Neurospora crassa OR74A: one gene and its partners. The protein of the gene in region 2 purifies or fractionates together with the protein of the main gene of each other region. This does not show direct contact. Links are inferred from orthologs where the notes say so. Each region holds a gene or a part of one and is shown on either strand. Other genes may lie near its edges.

Region 1 (5,163 bases), about 1.7 Mb from region 2:
CTTAGTCCTCGAGTACTGTAGGCGGATAGCCTTGTGGCGGTCGCGATGTCAACGGGGAGAAGGAGGTTCAGGCGCAATTGCGACTCGCGTGATCAACCAGCGAGGGGCATGGTGACGTACCTTGAGTTGCGCCGGTAGAGCTTCGACAATGAGAATTAGAAAGCGACTACAAAAAGGAGAGATGGAAAACAGAAGGAGAAATTGACAAAGGGAGAATTGAACTTTTTAGATCACCTGGCAACGGCGGGGGGGGAAGGAGGAACAGGCAGAGAAACATCCAGCACCACTCCGGCCAAGACTCTCCCGGTTCTAGGCAATGGAGCTCTCCGTCGTCAGGGACGTCAGCTTGTCGGCGGCTCCACACCTCACAAGGCACAAAAAGCGGGGACTTTCTCTGGGGGAGCGGGGTCGGGCAAGGGGACAGGTACATAGGTACCATAGTACCGCCCGTTGTGTTTTCCGCGATTGGGGATTCGTTCGCGGGGACGGAGCTGTCAGGGGCACCATCTTGTTAGTGGGATGGTGTGGCAAGCCCAGCAGGTTCTTGTCCTTGTCGACATGTCCTCGTGTGGGTGCCACTGCCATCCTCCGAGTTGTTGCTTGGTCAGCTTGAGGCTGCTTGCTTACCTCTAGTATTCTTTATCACCTTGATGGCCTCATTTAGTTCTCTATTTGAGATGAATTAGGTTGAGTTATGGAAGCCACTTGAACTGATACCAGTTGTACTAACAATTCATGCTGGTTTTTTATACTTTGTTTTCATCAAAAAGGTCACACCTCACCAAACATGAAAGACTTGAAGTACCGGCCCGTTGGTTCTCGACAACAGGAACCAAAGCTGCGAACCTGCAGCCCGGTCGTGTGCTGTGTAGCATCGGATGAGCACCATGATCCTCGTCGCCCTCTCATGAGCCATCCACACTTTCTCGATCCGTCGTCAGTTGCTGCTGCATCGGGACACCCCACGCAACAGTTCCTTGGGGCCTCGTGATTCTCCGTGCATAGAGTGGGTGCCACACACGGACTTGCTGTGCCCTTGAATATTGGGGTCACGGGTGGGCGGGAGGAGAGAGAGGATTTGGCACATCGAGATGAATTTTTCAACAAAAGACTATCCATATTACATACGATGATAAATATTTACAAAGGCGTCCATCCCCTCTGAAGCCTCATGACATTTAACAGACAGGTGCTCGTGGTCAACTCCATGACGTCGTTGTGGATTCCAGTAGTGTGTACTCTCTTGTCATTTTGTGTGAGACCTGAAGCCCCTGATGCGCTGTAATGGTGTATCGGTCCCTGTTGACTGCGTCTTGTCCTCGCCCGTTTACTCGAGACAGGACACCAAGAACAAGACACTTTGGGGAGGGAAGCATGCATGGCGCTCCAGTGAATTGAACTTGACAAGTTTGGATCGAGGCGGTTTGATACACTCGGGTCTCCGTCGGCAATAAAAACACAACGAATCATGGCTCATGCGAAACCGGGCATCCAAATCGAGGCTTTGCCAAATAATGGTCTGCAACAAGCAACACTTTTCGGTCTGACTGGCCTGTTACTTGCAGCCTGGAGTCCCGCCTGTCCAGTGTTCTGCCCCTGACCGTGACTTCACCCAAAGCGGCAAGGCGGTGAAGGGGTTTGGCAGTGGCAGCCATCCTTGTCACCCTCCTTGGGCCCCGATTTTCCAAGGTCCCAGGGCTGTTTTGCTCCGGCCGGCAGGGCAATTACAGTTGGCACCTGGACACTTGGATGGATCCCTCCCCGACCGAACGTGACTGCTCACTGCAGCACAGCACTCATTGCAGTCGGTGGGAGGGAGTTGTCGTGCCTCACCCACGCCTTTCTTGGTCATTTCCTCGGCTGGCCTTCCACTTCACCTGCAGTGCCTTTTTTATTTTCCATTTTCCATTTTCCATTTTCCACCTCCGGCTCTTTCCACCATCTTTTAAAATCATCTTGGGACTCTCATTTTCCCACGGACGAACTTCTTCCTCTTTAGCAACACCTAACTCTGAACTGCTGACAAGTATCAGATCCAATTGCTGTTACTAGCTTACTACTACTTAGTATTCAACTTCCACTTGACTACACTACACTAGCAGTTTTTTGCATCCTTCCGCCACCCGACAAGGAAAGCCAACCAAGCCCATCCTTGGGATCGTCAAGCATTCAATTAGCGATCCGTCCATCCATCCATCCATCCATCCATTTCTACCATTCACCCAACAACACCAACCACCATCAACACACACCCACACAAAGGAACGGGCACAACAACCTTTCTGCTTCCTTTCGCCTTCTCTTTCAACTATTATTACACCCACACACACAAATACACACACAAAACACACACAACACATATCAACCAAAATGTCGTCGCCCGCCCCTTCTAGCACCGGTGGCGCCAAGGAGAAGAAGCCCCTTGAGCAGATCACGTTCCGCTTCTGCTCCGAATGCAGCAACATGCTGTACCCCCGCGAGGCCGAGGACGAGAACAAGCTGCTCTTCACCTGCCGCACCTGCAACTTTTCCGAGCCCGCCACGTCGACGTGCATCTACCGCAACATCCTCAACAACGCTGCCGGCGAGACGGCTGGTGTCACGCAGGATGTCGCCTCTGATCCCACGGTGGGTGTTGTCTCTTCTGTTTCTTCTGCTGCTGTTGGTGATGGTGTCGCCTCGCCTGCGTCGACCTTGCCCCGACCCGCCGACGGTTCGACCTACATCTACTGCCAGTGCTGTGGCGTCATCGAGCTGTGTTCGAACCACTTTGCCGCCCCTCCCTCCGACTCCGAAGCCGGCAGCGATTGCGAGTCCCTGTACGACCAGATGGCCGCCACCACGATCGACATGAGCGATAACAGTCATGTCTGGGCTTCCAACAGCAGCGAGAGGGAGGCCATGGGCAGGGTCCGTGCCGAAGAGTACTTTTACAACTTGGTCGCCTTTGAGGACTACGAAGAAGAGGAGGACTCCATCGAGTCTGAAAACATGGAGCTCGACGACACCGACACGGAGTTGGCGGCATCAAGCCAACTGCCTGTTCAAGTCCCGGCAGCTTAGGACATGACCGGCAGACGACGCATCTCCCGCTCTCACGAGGTTACGACTTTTTGATTTTACGGTCACAGCGATTACGGTTACGGCATACCCATTACATCAGGATTATAATACATCTATAATCATGGCGGCGCGGTTGTTCGCCCACCTTCGGGATTACAGCACCCGACACACGACACGACTGGCACACAGCACGGCATAGCATAGCACAGCGCATACCCAAAAGTCTCCGTCCGTCTGGTGGCGGGGTCTGGTCCGCGAGGCGATGACCTGGATTTGGCTTGTTCTTGTCATTTGCTCTGGCTTGCATCGAGACTAATCTCTTCTTTTTCTTCTTTCGTTTGCTATCTAGCTCCCAAGAGCCATCAAGGAATGCCCTGCCTGCCACCACCCGGAAGCTGTCTTCTTCCAGTCACAGCAGCGTACTTCGGAAACCGGAATGGTAAGACTCACTCACCTGCCTGGGAGGGGCTCACCAGAGTCATGGGTTAACAACGTTACTTTCAGAAACTTTTCTACGTCTGCTGCGATTGTGGTAATATTTACCAGTAGTGGGGGATTCACTCTTCACTCGGAAGGAATAGGGCCAGATCGATCCTTGTTATAGGCGGACAGGCGGGCGGTCGGAAAAAATCACAGGTTGATTAATAAAGATCAGGGGGTCATGATGAGTTGCATTACAGTGGCGTTTGTACACGGTTAACTCAAAAGGACCGCGGTTTAGGGCGTTTGGTTTTCTTTTTCATGCTTTGGCAGGACACTGGTTTAGAAATGGTCTTTCCATGAATCTCGTGGATAACGTTATAAACTGTTTCGTGTGATATGCAATGGTGATGTTGTTTTGCTTGACATGACATGTAATGTACAGTAGTATACACAGATTAGGACGGCACGCTTGATGTCCCGAACTGAAGTGACTGGTAAACCTAATCGACTGATGTGACGGCTGCTGCTGGCTGATCGTTACCCAAAATGGCGCTTGAAGAAAGGCCGTTCGATGAGACCATATTTTGGTGTGATGTCCGGTGTGTGAAGCCGTCGTACCTTGAGAACAACGTCGCAGTCTCAAACCCGTATACGCCAGGCCATCCCAAGTCCATCCTGGAAATCCGTAGACACACAAACCACAGTTCCGTCAGATATCAACAAAGTGATGTTCCGTAGCGCTCATCGTCAGTCATTACCTCAACACAGCCAACCCAAGCTGAGCCGACACCCAAACCCCCCACGAGAGTCACCAAGTCACCGCAATGACACATCCCACCGAGCATACTCCTCTTCACTTCAAGGAGCGTCACGCCACATCCCACCCCAACAAACTCAACTCTTTTTCTTTACGGGTATTCATATTTCATTCCATCTTGATTCTCCCGCTACATCCATCGTACATATATCCTCCCTGATCGATCAATCAAGCCTAGCTAAGCCTGCATAGGCGCCATACTCAATATCTTGCTCCACTTTTTCTTTCGCAGTTCCTGGCCCACCACACCATTGATGCGCGATCCGATCGGGTCGCCGGCCTTGTTGATCAAGACACAGGCGTTGTCGTCGAACCGGACGACCGAACCGTCGCGGCGCTGGACTTTTTGCTTGGTGCGCACTACCACGGCGTGGCGGATGTCGCCGCGCTTCACCTTGGTGGCGGCCGAAGAGGCGGCCATGCCGGCCGAGTCGGCGCCGCGCTGTTTTTGGACGACTACTACTATGCGGTCGCCTTTCTTCTGTTAGTTGAGGTATGAGGAGGGGAAAGAAGGGGGGAAAGAAGGGGGAGGGGGACAAGAGGGGGGAAAGAAGGGGGAGGGAGGAACAAGAGGGGCAAGAGGCAAGTATGATATGTGTATAAGACCAGATGTTCCTTGGTCGGACGAGAAGAATCGGACGGGATGGGACGGGTATGAACGGCGACGACGGTGTTGGTGTTGGGGTACGAAAGAGGGATCGGGTAGTTCGTGTAGATATGATATGCTCGAGTCGACGATGGGTTCGTGGGTGTATAACGGAAATCGAAAGGGAATTCGAAAGCATACCAATCGAAGCATGCCTCTTTTGGCCGACAACCATGGCGCATTCCACCAGGGCAGCACCCGAGTTGTCGATGCA
Region 2 (3,398 bases):
AGAGTACATCAACCGCTTCGAGCCTCGTGGCCTCGATGAAGAGGGTGTCACCAAGGTCATGGCCACGCTCATGCAGTGCAAGGAGAAATGGATTGCCGTCAAGCTGCTCGGCCGCCTTCAGAATGCCGACGATGACCATGTCCGGAACCGGGTTGTTAAGATGCACGGATACCAGATTTTGAAGACAACCCTCAACACCTTTAAGGAAGACACCAATGTCGTACTGCAGATTCTCGATATCCTGTACCAACTCCCCCGCATCACCAAGAACAAGATTACCGATTCCAACATCGAAGCCGCCGTCGAGCCCCTCACCCATTCCGACCATGAGGATGTCGCGTCGCAGTCCAAACGATTGCTTCAGGAATGGAGCAAATTGGAGACAGCCTATCGCATCCCGCGCAAGAAGCTCGACCCCTCCGCTCCCGTAACCACAAATTCGTTTGAGGATGACCGCCGCAACGTCAATCATGAGGAGCATCCCTCAAGACCTGTCAATCCGTTCGAGAACATGGTTGTGCCCACGGGTCCCCGCAGCAACATTCCCCAACGGAACATGAACTACTTCAACAACCAGAGACCACGCAAGCTTCCAACGAATCTTCCTGCAGGATGGTTTGTCACCACTGACAGCACAGGCAAATACTACTTTTACGACAAGAGCGGCCATACCCAGTGGCAGCGACCTACAACGCCTGCTGTCGACGTGCCCAAGCCCTCTGCCAAGGTGGAACAAAACCAAAAGGCTCTGCAGGATATCATCGACAGTTTGACCAAGGAGCCGACGCCCCGCCATTCTGCGAACCAAACCCCTAAATCTAACACACCCGTGCCAGACAATGGTAAGAAGGAGAAGTGGAGGTCTCTTCCGGTTGAGAAACAGATGAAGATTTACGAAAACACGGTATGTCCAATCCCGGAAGCCAACTGCCCCTCCTATTGCGGTGACGCTAAACAAAGTACTTTCAGCTCTTTCCTCATGTGAAATACGTCATGGACAAGTTTCACCGAAGACTTCCCAAGGAAGACCTCAAGCGGTTTGGCCGTGAGATCAACAAGAAACTGGTTGCTTCCGACTACAAGAACCACCGTGTCGATGACCCTACGACCATTTCCTCCAACCAGGCAAGGAAGATCAAGAAATTTGTCAAGGACTTCTTTGATCGTGCTGTGGTCAAGCACAGGGAAAACGAGCAGCGCGCTGCACAGAAAGCCGGGCCATCATCTTCCGGCGCCCCATCGCCTACCAACGGCGGTTCAGCCAAGTCACCACTTGGCCGTAACGGCGCCAGCAATGCCACCGTCAAGACCCAGCAGCCCGACGCCGATGGCGATATTGTCCTTACAGACGTGGAGGATGAGGGCGAGAATACTCCTGCCACCTCCAGCTCAGACCGCAAGAGGAAGCGTGCGGAAGAGCAAGAGGTTCCGGCGCCGGCATCCGAAGCGATACCTTCACCGAAGCGAGCCAAGGAGGACTCGACAACCGAAGACTCGATCCCCAGCCCTCCGCCCCCTCCGCCGCCGCCGACAGATACTCCACTCACCGAAGAGGAGCGATCAATGCGCGAGCAAGAGGAGGCCTTAATGAGGGAGAACGAAGAAGCGCAGAGGCTGGAGGACGAGGAGGCCGAGCGCCGGGTGAGTGTTACTGTTCAGGGAGCGGCTGTCGCGACCAGCAAGGTGAACGGAGTAAATGGGACCAAGGCCCACCATACCTCAGAGGCATCACCTGCTGTTTCCGATGAGAATGGGATGGACGCTGGTCGTGATGAGAAGAGTCATGAGCAAATGGCACAACAGGAGCCCGTCAGTCGTTAGCTATCTTTTATAAGTTCTTTTTCTTTCCTTTTTTTTTTTTTTATCTTTCTTCTTTCTTTCTTCTTCCGGGTGTGTGGAAAAGAGTCCAATGGTTGTTGAAAGCAAATCATGGACAGAGAGGCACAGTTCAAGGGAAATGCTTGAATGGCTCTTTCCTTATCGGTTCGTTGCATGAAAAGGTTACCGCCTAACCGCCCTGGAATCATTGTTGGCTGGTTGGCATTAGAAAAGTGGTTGGTTTGGTGGGTACTCGTTTATCCGGTTCATGTTGGTGGGTCGGTTGGTCGGTTGGTCATATATCCAAAATCGGTCGGTACACGGTCCAAAGGGTTGATGGTTTCCTGAGTTATCATTCTCAGCACGTCTAATGTCCGAGGAAAGGTGGACGAACAGACAGACAGGCATGGACTCTTGTTATTGCTTTCCTACGATGTTCCACTTTCATCAGCAACAAGTTTATCTTTATATTCAGGTCTAGATCGATGACGGATTGGGTGATGGATGTGCCGGTGCTGGGGACAATTCGACAGTCATCAACATATAGGCGGTAGGCTACTATAATTGGTGGACGAGGGGTACCAGTATTGCTGGCTGACTTTTCAGTCATGGACACACACGCACCTGCCCCCTTGTATTGCCTTGGAGGAATTTTTTTTATTGGTAGAGAACGCAATACCGCATTTTGACAACGGACGTGGTCGTGATGGTGGTGGCGACACTGCTGGTGGTGGTGGCGGTGGTGGTGGTGGATTGACACACACACACACACACAAATGATAGCAGATACATCCATCCTCGCTACATCCCAAACGGCCGGGCAGCTTCTGGCAGCTGATCGCTGGAGGAGCTGGTGTTGAAAAAAAGTATATCTACAGGAACCATGATACAGGTGGACTTCACAGTGAAGATATCTGCCAATAGCAGACGTGTGGCTACAGTGGACCTGGGTGGCAGATGCCTACTTGGTTGCTTGTTTCAAACTCATACAGAGCTCCCTCTTTGTCTCACCAACTCCTTTCCCTCTCCCTTTTTCTTTTCTTTTCTTTTCTTTTTCGTTGCTCTCTTTCTCTTTCTCTTTTTAAGGCGTTAGGTCTCAAAAACAAAATGGGAATCGGAGATATGGAAAAAGCATTAATCGGCAACGGCGTTTATTATTATTTTTTTATTATTATTTTTTTTATTTTTTTTGGGAAGTACCCGGAGTGAGATGAGAAACAAAGGCGTTCGTTCGCGTTTTTGATCTTGCCTATATATGTACACAGTAGTAGTTCCTTGTGGAAATCTATCGCATGGCATTGTTGTTTTCATCACTTGCGGTTTGGGTTTCTCATGGTATTCATTGTTATTGTTTTGCTCTTCATTAGGGGCAAGCAAGCGAGCCAGCAAGCAAGCAAGCAAAGTGGTAAACAGGCAGCCGGACTGGAACTGGACAGACGGGCGAGTGCAAACTGGTGCGAAAAGGCACATGGCAGAAGATAAGTAGGAAAGAGATAAAAGACATAGTGGGAAACTTGGACTCCGTTTGGCGAACTGGGGGGATATAATAAGCTAGAGAGAGAGGGAGACATCGATACGCT
Region 3 (5,236 bases), on a different chromosome or scaffold from region 2:
GAATTCGGCGATCTGGCCGTCGACTCCCAGCTCGCCTCCTCCTCGGCCATCGCCGGCGTCTCCGAGCTTTTGAACGGTTGCATCTGCTGCAACCTCGTCGGTCAACTCTCGGTCGCCCTTTCCGAGCTCCAGTCCACCGTTCGGCCGGACCGAATCGTCATTGAGACCTCGGGCTCTGCGTTCCCTGCTACGCTGGCGCTCGAGGTCAACCGGCTGGCGAGGGAGACGGGGGGCCAGTATGTGCTGGATGGCGTGGTGAGCGTGATTGATGTGGAGAATTGGAAGGGGTATGAGGATACTAGCTATACGGCGCGGATTCAGGCGCGGTATACGGATCTGATTGTGTTTAACAAGTGGGAAGGGGCGGGGGAGAGGAGGTTTGACGAGGTTTTGGATAGGGTGGGAGATTTGGAGGTGGACACAGCGTGGGTGAAGAGTGATAAGGGGTGGGTGGATATGTCGGTGGTGTTTGGGATTGATGGGGGGTTGGCGAGGGGTCTTACGGAAGAGGATGGGCATGTTCACGATGACAAGTGTGGACATGACGATAAGCATAAGCATGATCATCAGACGGAGGTGGAGGTGTTGAGTATTGAGCTTAAGAGCGGCAACAGAGAAGCGACGGTGGATGCGACGAAGCTGTTGGCTTTCTTGAGGAAAACGAACAAGGACGAGGTGTACAGGATCAAAGCCGTGTTGGCGGTTTCTGCGAAAACTGCGCGGGAGGTGCTGAAGAATTCGGATGAGGATACCAAGGTTCCAGTACCACCTACGTCCGCGGGAAGCGAAGCTCAAACGACGAGGTATATCCTCAACTGGGCGTTTGGAAGGTGGACGTTTACACCTGTTGCGGCTGAAGTCAAGGAGCACGAATCCAGCAGTGAGGCGATACTGAGGATGACCATGATTCTGGCCAGGTATGAGAGCACCAAGTGGAAGAAGAGACTGGAGGCTGGTGGGTTGTTGGAGCTTGAAGAGGAGAATGGGAAGGGCGAGTTGAGCGTTACCAAGGTCAACTAGAGAGCGGCACGTTTGATAGACGAGGAGCTATGGATTATGTATGAACGAACAATAAGACTTCGGGATAGAATAGAGCGCACCTGATGGGAGCAAATAGAAGCAGACGTCCCAAAGACATATTGACAAACTTCTTAAAAATTCAACATCCACTCCTCGCATACTCTCACCACAAGACACCTTGAACAAATCTATGGTTCCCATTCTGCCCTAGCATTGAGCGAGTAAACGGAGAGATCTGTCAAAACCCCTTATTTTCCATATCCCATGCATGTCTTGATCATTAACGCCTGCAAAGAGACTGACTGAAAAGCATCCTCAAAGAAAATCCCTAAACGCCGTTTTTGAATGACGACCGATCCGATCAACAAAACAGCAAAGATAATGAGCTAATCATGTTTTCACCGTCCATGCCACCATCGCATCTCTTTTCCCACCCCCCCAATTCAGCATCGGACGACCTTCGTAAACTTTCCTCCGGCAGTCAAGTAAAGTAAAGTAAAGGCGTGTCGGGAGTAGAGTAAACACCGCGAACAACCCCGTTAAGGCGGGCATCGATTCGATCAGTAATGACCGCCATTAGCGCCGCCGTTCACGCCGCCTCCCTGCTCGCCCTGGTCAGCATACTGGCGCAGGGCAAGCTCCTTCTGGAACTCGCGGCCCAATTGGCCGTACATGGCCACGAGCTGCTTGCACGCGCCAACGAGAGCCTCGCGCGGGGTGATGCTTCCGTCTGTCTGGATACGGATGAAGAGTTCCGGCACGTTAGGGTGGGCAACTAATAATTACGTGTCAGTCAGTTTCTGTTTATCTCGCCATGGGTGGTGGTGGTGGTGGTGGTGAGGGTTTGTGTGGGGAGGGGGGGTAAAGAGAAGAAAAGTAAAAGTGAAGTAAGACGCGGCGGTACGACGTGACGTACTCTTGTATCCTGCCATCAAGACATGAGGGGCCTGCTTCAGATGTTCGGCGAGGAGGTTGCCGAGGGTGTGGTCCTCCTTGAGAATCTTGAAGTCGGAGGTGTTCGACATGCCTATCCAAGTAATGGAAAAAAAAATCGGGGTCAGTTTTCTTGCCATTTCCTTCTTCTACTATTTCTTCTTCTCCCCACGTATCACCTCATTATCAAGAAGATGAGGAGATCGACTCGACTCACCAGTGAAAACCTTCTCCTCAATCTTCTTCTCTCCATCCTGGAGAAGGAAGAGCTCGAACCTGGTTGTTTTTGGAAGCAAATGTCAGTAATGTTTTCCTACTACCCAAAAGTGAGGTAATGATGAGAGTATAAACGGAAAGAAGAAGGCGGACCGGTTCGGCTCGCTGTTTTGCTTGGGATTGGCTCCGCTCATCTTGTTGATCTTGGTCCTGTTCGCTGTTGCCAGGTGACGAGGAGGGCATGGAATCAATATCCTTCTTGTCGTGATGGACTGTGTGCTAGTCCAAAGGGATGTTGGTTTGACGAAGGGTTTAAGTGGTGTATGAGGAGGAAGTCGTCCGCCTTTTATATCGTTGACAGCCAGCGACTCTCCATCCAGATTGAGTTTGGTCAAGGTGAATCCGTGGTAGACAAGTTACCCACCAACTCCCAGATCGCTAGTCTCCCAGCTGCCTCGCCTGCCTGTTGCCTTCCATTTGCGTCCATGGTCCATGATCAGATGAAAGCCGTCCCGTTTGTTTCGCGTTCAAAACAATAGGCACCTGGCACCAGCAACCAGACAAACACCGCCTACCGGAGGGGAAGATTGAACCAAGCTCGTAGACCATGAAGGATAGACACGTAAGGCTAAGAACTGGGGCGGACTATTCGAGTGTCTGCCTGTCCGTCCAGGTCGATTTGTTCCATTGTCGTACTGAGATGAGTTGACATTGCGGTTCCAGTCGACACCGGCATGTGACATAATGACTTTTGACATAGTCGTTATGATTCCTTGTCGAACGCCCTCAAGAGATTTAAGGCAACCCAGGTCGAGTGTTTCCGGCATTTGCGTGAGGCGCGTCGTCCAGGGCAGAAGGAAGAGGGGGGTTGGTTTCTCCATGTGGAAAGAAACCAGCAAGAAGAGAAGATTCTACTAACCTATCAGGGGCGTTCATTTTGGCGATTGGCTAACGATATGACGTAGAGCTCGTTGTTGGTTATCGGTGGTGTATAAACGATTGTCGTCGTCGCCCGATATCGTGAATTTGCGATATGGTGTTGAGGTTGAGACCGGGGGGTGACGATGTCAACTGCTCAAGAACGTCGAGTGGTTGATGTAGCAATTGTGTAGATTCGCTCTTATGGCGGGACCGGGGGAACGTAGGAATTTCGATACCCAAAATTGGAGCGTGAATGGGACAGACTACCAAAGGTTTCAGTCGCTCAGGTTTTGATACTGCTCGTCAGCTGGTGAAGGTTTTGATCTTGGTGAAGGGGGTGGGATGTTTTAACACAAGTGAACGCACTTGATCGATGTCTTCGAGGTCGTCCAGGTTGCGCATCCACTGTGAGATGGGGGCAACGCAGTTGGAGCACTGAACTCCGGATCAAGGTACGTGTGGTCTGTGCGCTCAGTTATTTCAGCGCCATCCCGCTTTTGGATGACTCGGTCCGCTGGGCTGTATACATACATGCTTGCAAGGGAGGGTTAGGGTTCAACAAAGAAAGAAAGCAGTGAGCTTGCTTGTTGGCGAAGCAGACGACGGCGACACACTGTGGGGAAGGAACTCTTTCCAACCATGAAATGAGGATGGTAGTATGCAAAGAGTAAACCGATATATGGAAGGTCATCGTAGCTACCACACTGTTCGCTCGAACACTGTTTGCAATGGGAGAGAAAGGCCGCCCCTCAAAGAGTCAGAGATTGTAGAGACTGCTAGGGAGAATAAACCCAGTAATGACACGTCAAAACAACAGTAAAATGACATCGACACCATAGACGTACAATGGGGAAAATGCCAGACTAATCAATTTATTCAAAAGTCAAACTATTCTCGCTCCATCGTTATGGTAACGAGCTTCTTCAAACAAACAGGGAAACGCTTCCCTCACGATGCAATACAAACTCTAGACATGCTTCTCGGCAACAGATTGCTCACTCCCATCAAGTCTACAGTGTAGTCCATCCCACAATCATCTAGTCATAACCCATATGTCTTGCTCTCATCATGTCGACCCCTATCCCATGATTTCCTTTCATTCTATACAACCATAATCATATCGTCGGATCCATTGTTCTTGATAAACCCCAACGCTCGTCCCATATAATCAAGAGGATACTCATGACTCATTCCGTGATCAATACGTACACGTTTGCACGCCTTTACGGGTTCAATCCCTTAGCATCGCAATAGCCAGGCGATTCTCCGCCCTCTCCAGCGCCGGCCCAGCTCATGACAGTCAAGGTAGTCGTGTACGCCATGGCAATGAAGCCAAAGACGCACAGGGCAACATCCGAGAATTTCCAGAGAGCGCTTCTGGCGACGCCCCTGTAGTGCAGCATCGGCTGTTTGTGACTGTGTTAGCGTCTGATTGATCATCTACACAAGAAGGAGCAAGGGTACGTAGCAAAACTCACCGGATAGATATACACCAACGGGATGCAAGCAAAGTTACCGACCAGTGCGACGAACTTGTCCAAGTTATCGGCACCCGCCCATGCAACCATGGCGCAGAAAGCGACGACAAAGAAGCGGAACACGTTCTTCTGCCACTTGATATACGGATTGTACTTTCCGCTCTTCGTGAAGAGTGCATTCTCCGTGATCCTGATGGCGGGGAAGATCTGCAGTGGGGTCGAAAGCAGGATGGCGAGCGAGTAGAGGAACTGCACGCCGTTGACCATTTTGTTGTCCTGGGGCAAGTTGAGGAGCACGACTGTCTCGGTCTTGGAGCCGTAGGCGGCATAGGAGACGGCGCCCATAACGGTGAACAAAGTGGTGATGATGATCATGACGACGGCCATCACCTTGGGGAACTTCTCCGGGTTTCTCATGGACTCCTGGATCGGGATGATGAGGCCGATGCCCTCAAAGGTAAAAATGGCGGTGCCGATGAAAAGGGTCCAGTCCTTCTGGTTGAACATGATGATGTCGGCCAGGCCCGAGGTGTTGAGAGTCAGGACGTCGTAGTAGAAGAGGTAGGCCAGACCGATGACGATGAAGGCGTCAGCAATAAGCGCAGTGAATCCCAATTTGCCAATATCACGCAGCAGCGAGAACGGCAGGAAGATGATCATTTGCATGA
Region 4 (5,036 bases), on a different chromosome or scaffold from region 2:
GAGGTCATTATATAATACATGAGATTGTAAAGAGACCTGTGAACGCCGTTTTTTGTTCCTGCGCGCGGGGGAAGCGGGCATATGTTGCATACAATTCGTTTTGTGTTGGATGTTGTACACGGGGCTTATTACAGTCGAGCCCCTTTTTCCTCTTTATATCTTCTTTTTTCGGTTTCCCTGGCTATATCTTGAGCCCCATATATTGAACATTCCTTTCTTCAGGGGCTTGTTCTCATGTCGTGTCATGACATGACATCTCAGGGTATCCTGCCCTGCTAAGCCCTGCCCCGCTAAGCCCATGCCAAGAATCTCTCCGTAGCCCTTTTCCGGTTGTTGGATGAAACAGAAAGAGACATTTATTTGTTCTTGACGACGCCGACCTGGGCAGGGCGAAGGACGCGGCCGTTGAGCTTGAAGCCCTTCTGCTGGACGTGGAAGACGACGTTGTGCTCCTTGTCGGGCATGGGCGCCATGAAGGTGGCCTCGTGCTCGTTGGGGTTGAAGACCTCACCCTCAGGTTCGATGCGCTCAAGACCGTGCTTCTTGAGGGTCGAAAGGAGGATGCTCTCGGTCATCTTGAGACCCTCGTAGAGGTTGACGAGGTCCTTGAGGTGCTCAGACTGCTCCTCCGACTTGAGCTTGTCCTGAGGAACCACGCTCAAGGCGCGCTCGAAGTTGTCGACGCTTTCAACGAGGTCCTTGGCGAACTTTTGAATGGCAAAGTCCTTGGCCTGCTTGACGTCGCGGGCGGTGCGCTCCTGGAGGTTGCGGAAGTCGGCGACGGTGCGAAGGCACTTGTCCTGTAGAGAGGGGCATCCCGTGTAAGTGACTTGTCCATCATGGCTGTATGTGCATATGCTTTGAAGCTCAAGAACCAACCTTCCACTCGCGGGCCTCGGCGTCCTTGGCCTCGAGCTGCTTCTTGAGGGCAGCAACTTCATCGGTCTCACCCTCCTTCTGCTCGGCGCCCTCGTCGGCCTTCTTCTCACCCTCAGCCTCGGCGCTGTACCACCGGGCGGCGGAGCGCAGCTGGGGAGCAGCTGTCCGGGCAGCTTGCATCTGGAAGATCTGGGAAGCAATAGGGCGCTGGGCGGCAACGCGGGCGCCGGAGCAGAGGGCTCTGGAAGAGCGGGTGAGGGCTGTTCGTAGCATGTTGGCTGGGTATCTGGATGTGACGGGTGGTGAGATGTGGCGATGTCAGAGACAGGGAAGCGTCGCGTGTTGAGAGAGGCACTTTCTCAGAAATTTTGAGACAGCTGCGCTAGCACGGGACGGAGACGGCATGGACGGGCGGCGGGTTGGGCGGCCAACAGGGGCCTTCGCAGTGTCTCCCACAGTGGGATGGTGGGAGGGTGGGTGCTGCTGCTGCATCAATCCTGTCGGCCGGCTGGGCGGGAGCGAACCGAAAAGCGGGTCATGAACGGACCGCCCAAAATCGACGAATTGCCTGCCGGACCATCGAGTTTTGCTCAAATCGACAATTGGAGCTTCGACACCTCAGCGCCCCGGGTGTGCCTGGCGGGGCTCTTTTGTGCGGGGGAGTCGAGATGGACCTGGCTGCTCCTACCTACTCTGTTAAAGACACGCCGTGGAGTTAGCCAACGCCAGGTCATGTGAAGATAAGGCCAGCTTAATCCTGGTCACTTTGTCTGCCCGCTGCGGCCTCAGCCAGAGGCAAGATTGGCGACTGGCCGCACTCAGTCCTACCATAGGTGGTGGCGCCTCCGAACCTCGACCCGTCAACGCGCCGGAAACCGAAATCAGTCCGCAACTTGCATTTCGCATCAACCGGCCCTCAACAAAGGCCACCTCAACCGCAACTCACCCTGCCTCGAACCACAACTTCCTGAACCGTTTCTCCCCCCGCATCCAAATTTTATCATACACCACAAAACGTACCATCGAGAACTGCCGACTGTAGCGAGAACAACTGACCGACCGCCGGTCAACACGCAAAGATGGATTACGATCCGATGGTGATGGACGACGCCGAGTCCCTGGGACCGGTCGTCAAGATCTCACAAGTATGTTCTGTGTGCTCTTGCTCACAGCAATTGCGCTCAGCTGCTCGTTCATCGTTCTAAACCATCATTCTAGGCGGACAACACCCGAGTCAAGTTTGAGCTCTCCAACACCGAGCTCAGCTTCGCCAACTCCCTTCGTCGCGTCATGCTTGCCGAGATTCCCACGATTGCCATCGATCTAGTCGAGATCGAGGCCAACAGCTCCGTTTTGGCCGACGAATTCATTGCCCACCGCCTGGGCCTGATTCCACTCAACGCCGAAGGTATCGAGCAGCTTCTGTATTCTAGGGACTGCGACTGCGACGAATACTGCGAGCATTGCAGTGTGACCCTCAACCTTCACGCCAAGTGCACTGGCGACGACATCATGCAAGTCTGTGCCCGCGATCTTGTTCCAGTCGGCGATCGCGTCAACCAAGTTCTCGGCTCGCCTATCATCAATGATCCTGAAGGCCAAGGTCCCCTCATCCTCAAGCTTCGTCACGGTCAGGAGATCAAGCTCCAATGCATCGCGAAGAAGGGTATTGCAAAGGAGCATTCCAAATGGGCCCCAAGTGCCGCCATCGGCTTCGAGTACGATCCTCACAACAAGCTGCACCACCTCGACTTGTGGTATGAGCAGGATCCTAAGAAGGAGTGGTAAGTACATTCCATCATCTTCACTTTTTCCAATTCCCTTTGATGTGACCGATGTCTCACCATTTTGTTTTTCTCTCCAGGCCTCCTTCGGAGTACGCCGACTGGGAGGAGCCTCCCCAGGAGGGCGAACCGTTCGATTACGATGCCGTACCACAACGCTTCTACTACAACGTCGAAACCGCCGGTCCTATTCCCCCTGATGCTATTGTCACTGAAGGCATCAAGGTCATCCAGCAGAAGTTGGCTGGTCTGATCCACGAACTTACCGAAAGCGATGGTGGTGAGAACGGATACAACGGACCGCGCAGCCCAGGCTACAACGAAGGTGGCGACAACTGGAACGACCAAGGATCGTTTACGCCATATGGAAACGGAGGAAACCAGAGCTCTTGGGGAGGTCAGGGAGGTACCACGCCCTACGGAGCGACTCCCTACGGAGGCGGCCAAAACCCTTGGTCTTGAGCATCATATGCTTACAGTTTACGATTTGCGACGTCAATTACTCCTCCTGATGGCTTGCGAGGTCATTGCGCCTGTCTTTTCCGGGAGGTTTTGGGTATCTGCGGTATCTTTGCGGCGCGAGTTCGAGCTGCGCACTTCGATTAACAACACAACACTTTTACCATTCAAACAAGATTGAGATTCGCATTCCTATACACACACTCGCGCCATCACCACCAGCTCAGCATCTACTTAGTAATCGTGGCGCCTCCGTCTCTTACTGCGGGGACCGTAACTCAACCACACTTTGTGGCTGAGGCCCACGGAACGGATCAGGGCCAAATATCGGACTTTTGGCGCTAGGCACGAGCCGCCACGTCAAGGTCAATTTTGGGGGAAACTGGGAAAAGGAACTTTGGGAGCTGGATCTTGACATTAGGGGAGAGGAGAGAGGCGCATTCTGAAGGGATTCAAGTCAGGGCGAGAGGAACCAGAGCATATCTTATTTGAGCGTCCCTCGTCCAGACACCACATATACTAGGCAGCGGAACGAGGACAGCTCTCTCTGTTATTGGCACCCTGCAAATGATCTATCGCACAATTGCGAGGTATAGACAAAAGGTGAATATAGTTACCATGGTCTGGCGACTACATAGGGGACCAAAATACCCAAAAAAAACATTCATAAACGGTTCGAAAGTGCGAGGTTCATAAAAAATCAAGATGCCATTCTCGCCGGTTGCTGGAGTCTAGTAAGCACTTGCTGCTCTGGTCTATTTGCTTTACACAACTCTGCAGGAAACACCAAACTCCCAGGGTAAGACTACATAAAGCCAAAACACCATCGAAATGACAGCCCTACCGCCGCTTCAATGCCTGACGGATGAGGGAACATCTAACAAAGGAAACCTATGAACAAGAAAACATGAGGTATCGCCATCTAGGTCCTGACAGAAAGACCACCACTCGGCCTCTAAAATGCAGATTTCCTCTATACAAATCCGGCCATTATGTCCCCACCCACAAACTTTTTGATTGAAATGCATTTGAAAACCCGCTGTTGCTGCTGCTAGTCCGTCTAAGAAGCAGACTCCCAAGACTGGACATGGGAGGAAAGGTGAAGAAAGAAAGAGAGATTAGAAAAGGTAGGTAGCCAGGAAGAGGAGCAAATGACAACTCATTCCTCAATGCCCTTGACCTTCTTGTACATCTTCCGATGGCCCTCCAAGAAGATGAAGGTGCAAATCGTTTGTCTGTCCGCGTCAATACCTCGTTAGCACAATCATATCCATGAAACTTTCGCGGAAGACCACATCCATAAAGGCAAAGGAAAAAAAGAGAAAAAAAAAAAAAAAAAAAAAAAAAAAAAAAAAAAAAAAAAAAAAAAAAAAAAAAAAAAAGGAGGGAATCAACTTACGGCCCCAACCTCAAAAAACTCGGCACCCATCCCTTAAACATCCACCTCACCCCTTCCTGGGCATACAAGCTCCCCAACACCTGCCCGATACTACTTTTCCCGCTCGCGCTCATGACCCGCGTCTTGACCACATCAATCGGGCTCGTCACCGTCGCCGCCGCCACGCCCGCCAGGAAACTGGCGCTAAAGTGCGTCGCCAGGTTATCCTCCAAGGGCGTATGTCTAATCAAGATGCGCTTGAACACATCGTAACTAGCCAGCTGGCTGGCCGTCATGGCGGCCGCCCTCGCACTATTGGGCCAAACACCCCTAAACCAGCTCCGGAACCCTTCCTCGCGCGTCATCCGCGCTAGGCCGTCGATGGCGTGCGCGTAGTTGCGTCGTTGCGCGGGGGGCAGAGCGGCGTCGTGCTGCATCCGCACGTTCAGCACGTCTGCTACGTTCCCCACCAAACCGCCGGCTACGCCGGAGACGGTGGCCATGGCGATCAGCACGGGGAAGGAGGCCGGGTGGTC

What was found.
Region 1: the proteins of set-2 (region 2) and NCU08553 purify together in Saccharomyces cerevisiae (affinity purification with mass spectrometry; 3 studies listed by BioGRID). This does not show direct contact. The link is inferred for Neurospora crassa OR74A from reciprocal best matches to the Saccharomyces cerevisiae genes SET2 and RPB9.
Region 3: the proteins of set-2 (region 2) and NCU03782 purify together in Saccharomyces cerevisiae (affinity purification with mass spectrometry, with the first as the bait; 3 studies listed by BioGRID). This does not show direct contact. The link is inferred for Neurospora crassa OR74A from reciprocal best matches to the Saccharomyces cerevisiae genes SET2 and RPB11.
Region 4: the proteins of set-2 (region 2) and NCU01515 purify together in Saccharomyces cerevisiae (affinity purification with mass spectrometry; 7 studies listed by BioGRID, with this or other methods). This does not show direct contact. The link is inferred for Neurospora crassa OR74A from reciprocal best matches to the Saccharomyces cerevisiae genes SET2 and RPB3.

Annotation. Positions count from the first base shown.
Region 1 is NC_026503.1:4,947,972-4,953,134, forward strand, and holds NCU08553 (DNA directed RNA polymerase II 15 kDa subunit), read left to right. Parts: upstream 1-1,804; 5' UTR 1,805-2,370; coding exon 2,371-2,628; intron 2,629-3,412; coding exon 3,413-3,502; intron 3,503-3,567; coding exon 3,568-3,612; 3' UTR 3,613-3,974; downstream 3,975-5,163. Other genes in the region: NCU08552 (mitochondrial 54S ribosomal protein YmL38/YmL34), read right to left, coding at 4,482-4,777, 5,091-5,163. UniProt on the Saccharomyces cerevisiae protein: DNA-dependent RNA polymerase catalyzes the transcription of DNA into RNA using the four ribonucleoside triphosphates as substrates. Component of RNA polymerase II which synthesizes mRNA precursors and many functional non-coding RNAs.
Region 2 is NC_026503.1:3,238,421-3,241,818, forward strand, and holds the end of set-2 (histone-lysine N-methyltransferase), read left to right. Parts: coding exon 1-904; intron 905-969; coding exon 970-1,821; 3' UTR 1,822-2,564; downstream 2,565-3,398. UniProt on the Saccharomyces cerevisiae protein: Histone methyltransferase that trimethylates histone H3 'Lys-36' forming H3K36me3. Involved in transcription elongation as well as in transcription repression.
Region 3 is NC_026505.1:2,389,905-2,395,140, forward strand, and holds NCU03782 (DNA-directed RNA polymerase II subunit RPB11), read right to left. Parts: upstream 3,490-5,236; 5' UTR 3,106-3,489; coding exon 3,089-3,105; intron 2,230-3,088; coding exon 2,171-2,229; intron 2,048-2,170; coding exon 1,937-2,047; intron 1,796-1,936; coding exon 1,581-1,795; 3' UTR 1,142-1,580; downstream 1-1,141. Other genes in the region: NCU03781 (CobW domain-containing protein), read left to right, coding at 1-1,020; NCU03783 (transmembrane domain transporter), read right to left, coding at 4,314-4,496, 4,569-5,236. UniProt on the Saccharomyces cerevisiae protein: DNA-dependent RNA polymerase catalyzes the transcription of DNA into RNA using the four ribonucleoside triphosphates as substrates. Component of RNA polymerase II which synthesizes mRNA precursors and many functional non-coding RNAs.
Region 4 is NC_026502.1:3,218,094-3,223,129, forward strand, and holds NCU01515 (DNA-directed RNA polymerase II polypeptide), read left to right. Parts: upstream 1-1,718; 5' UTR 1,719-1,958; coding exon 1,959-2,024; intron 2,025-2,097; coding exon 2,098-2,663; intron 2,664-2,743; coding exon 2,744-3,125; 3' UTR 3,126-3,847; downstream 3,848-5,036. Other genes in the region: NCU01516 (mitochondrial co-chaperone GrpE), read right to left, coding at 357-800, 880-1,152; NCU01514 (mitochondrial dicarboxylate carrier), read right to left, coding at 4,282-4,357, 4,522-5,036. UniProt on the Saccharomyces cerevisiae protein: DNA-dependent RNA polymerase catalyzes the transcription of DNA into RNA using the four ribonucleoside triphosphates as substrates. Component of RNA polymerase II which synthesizes mRNA precursors and many functional non-coding RNAs.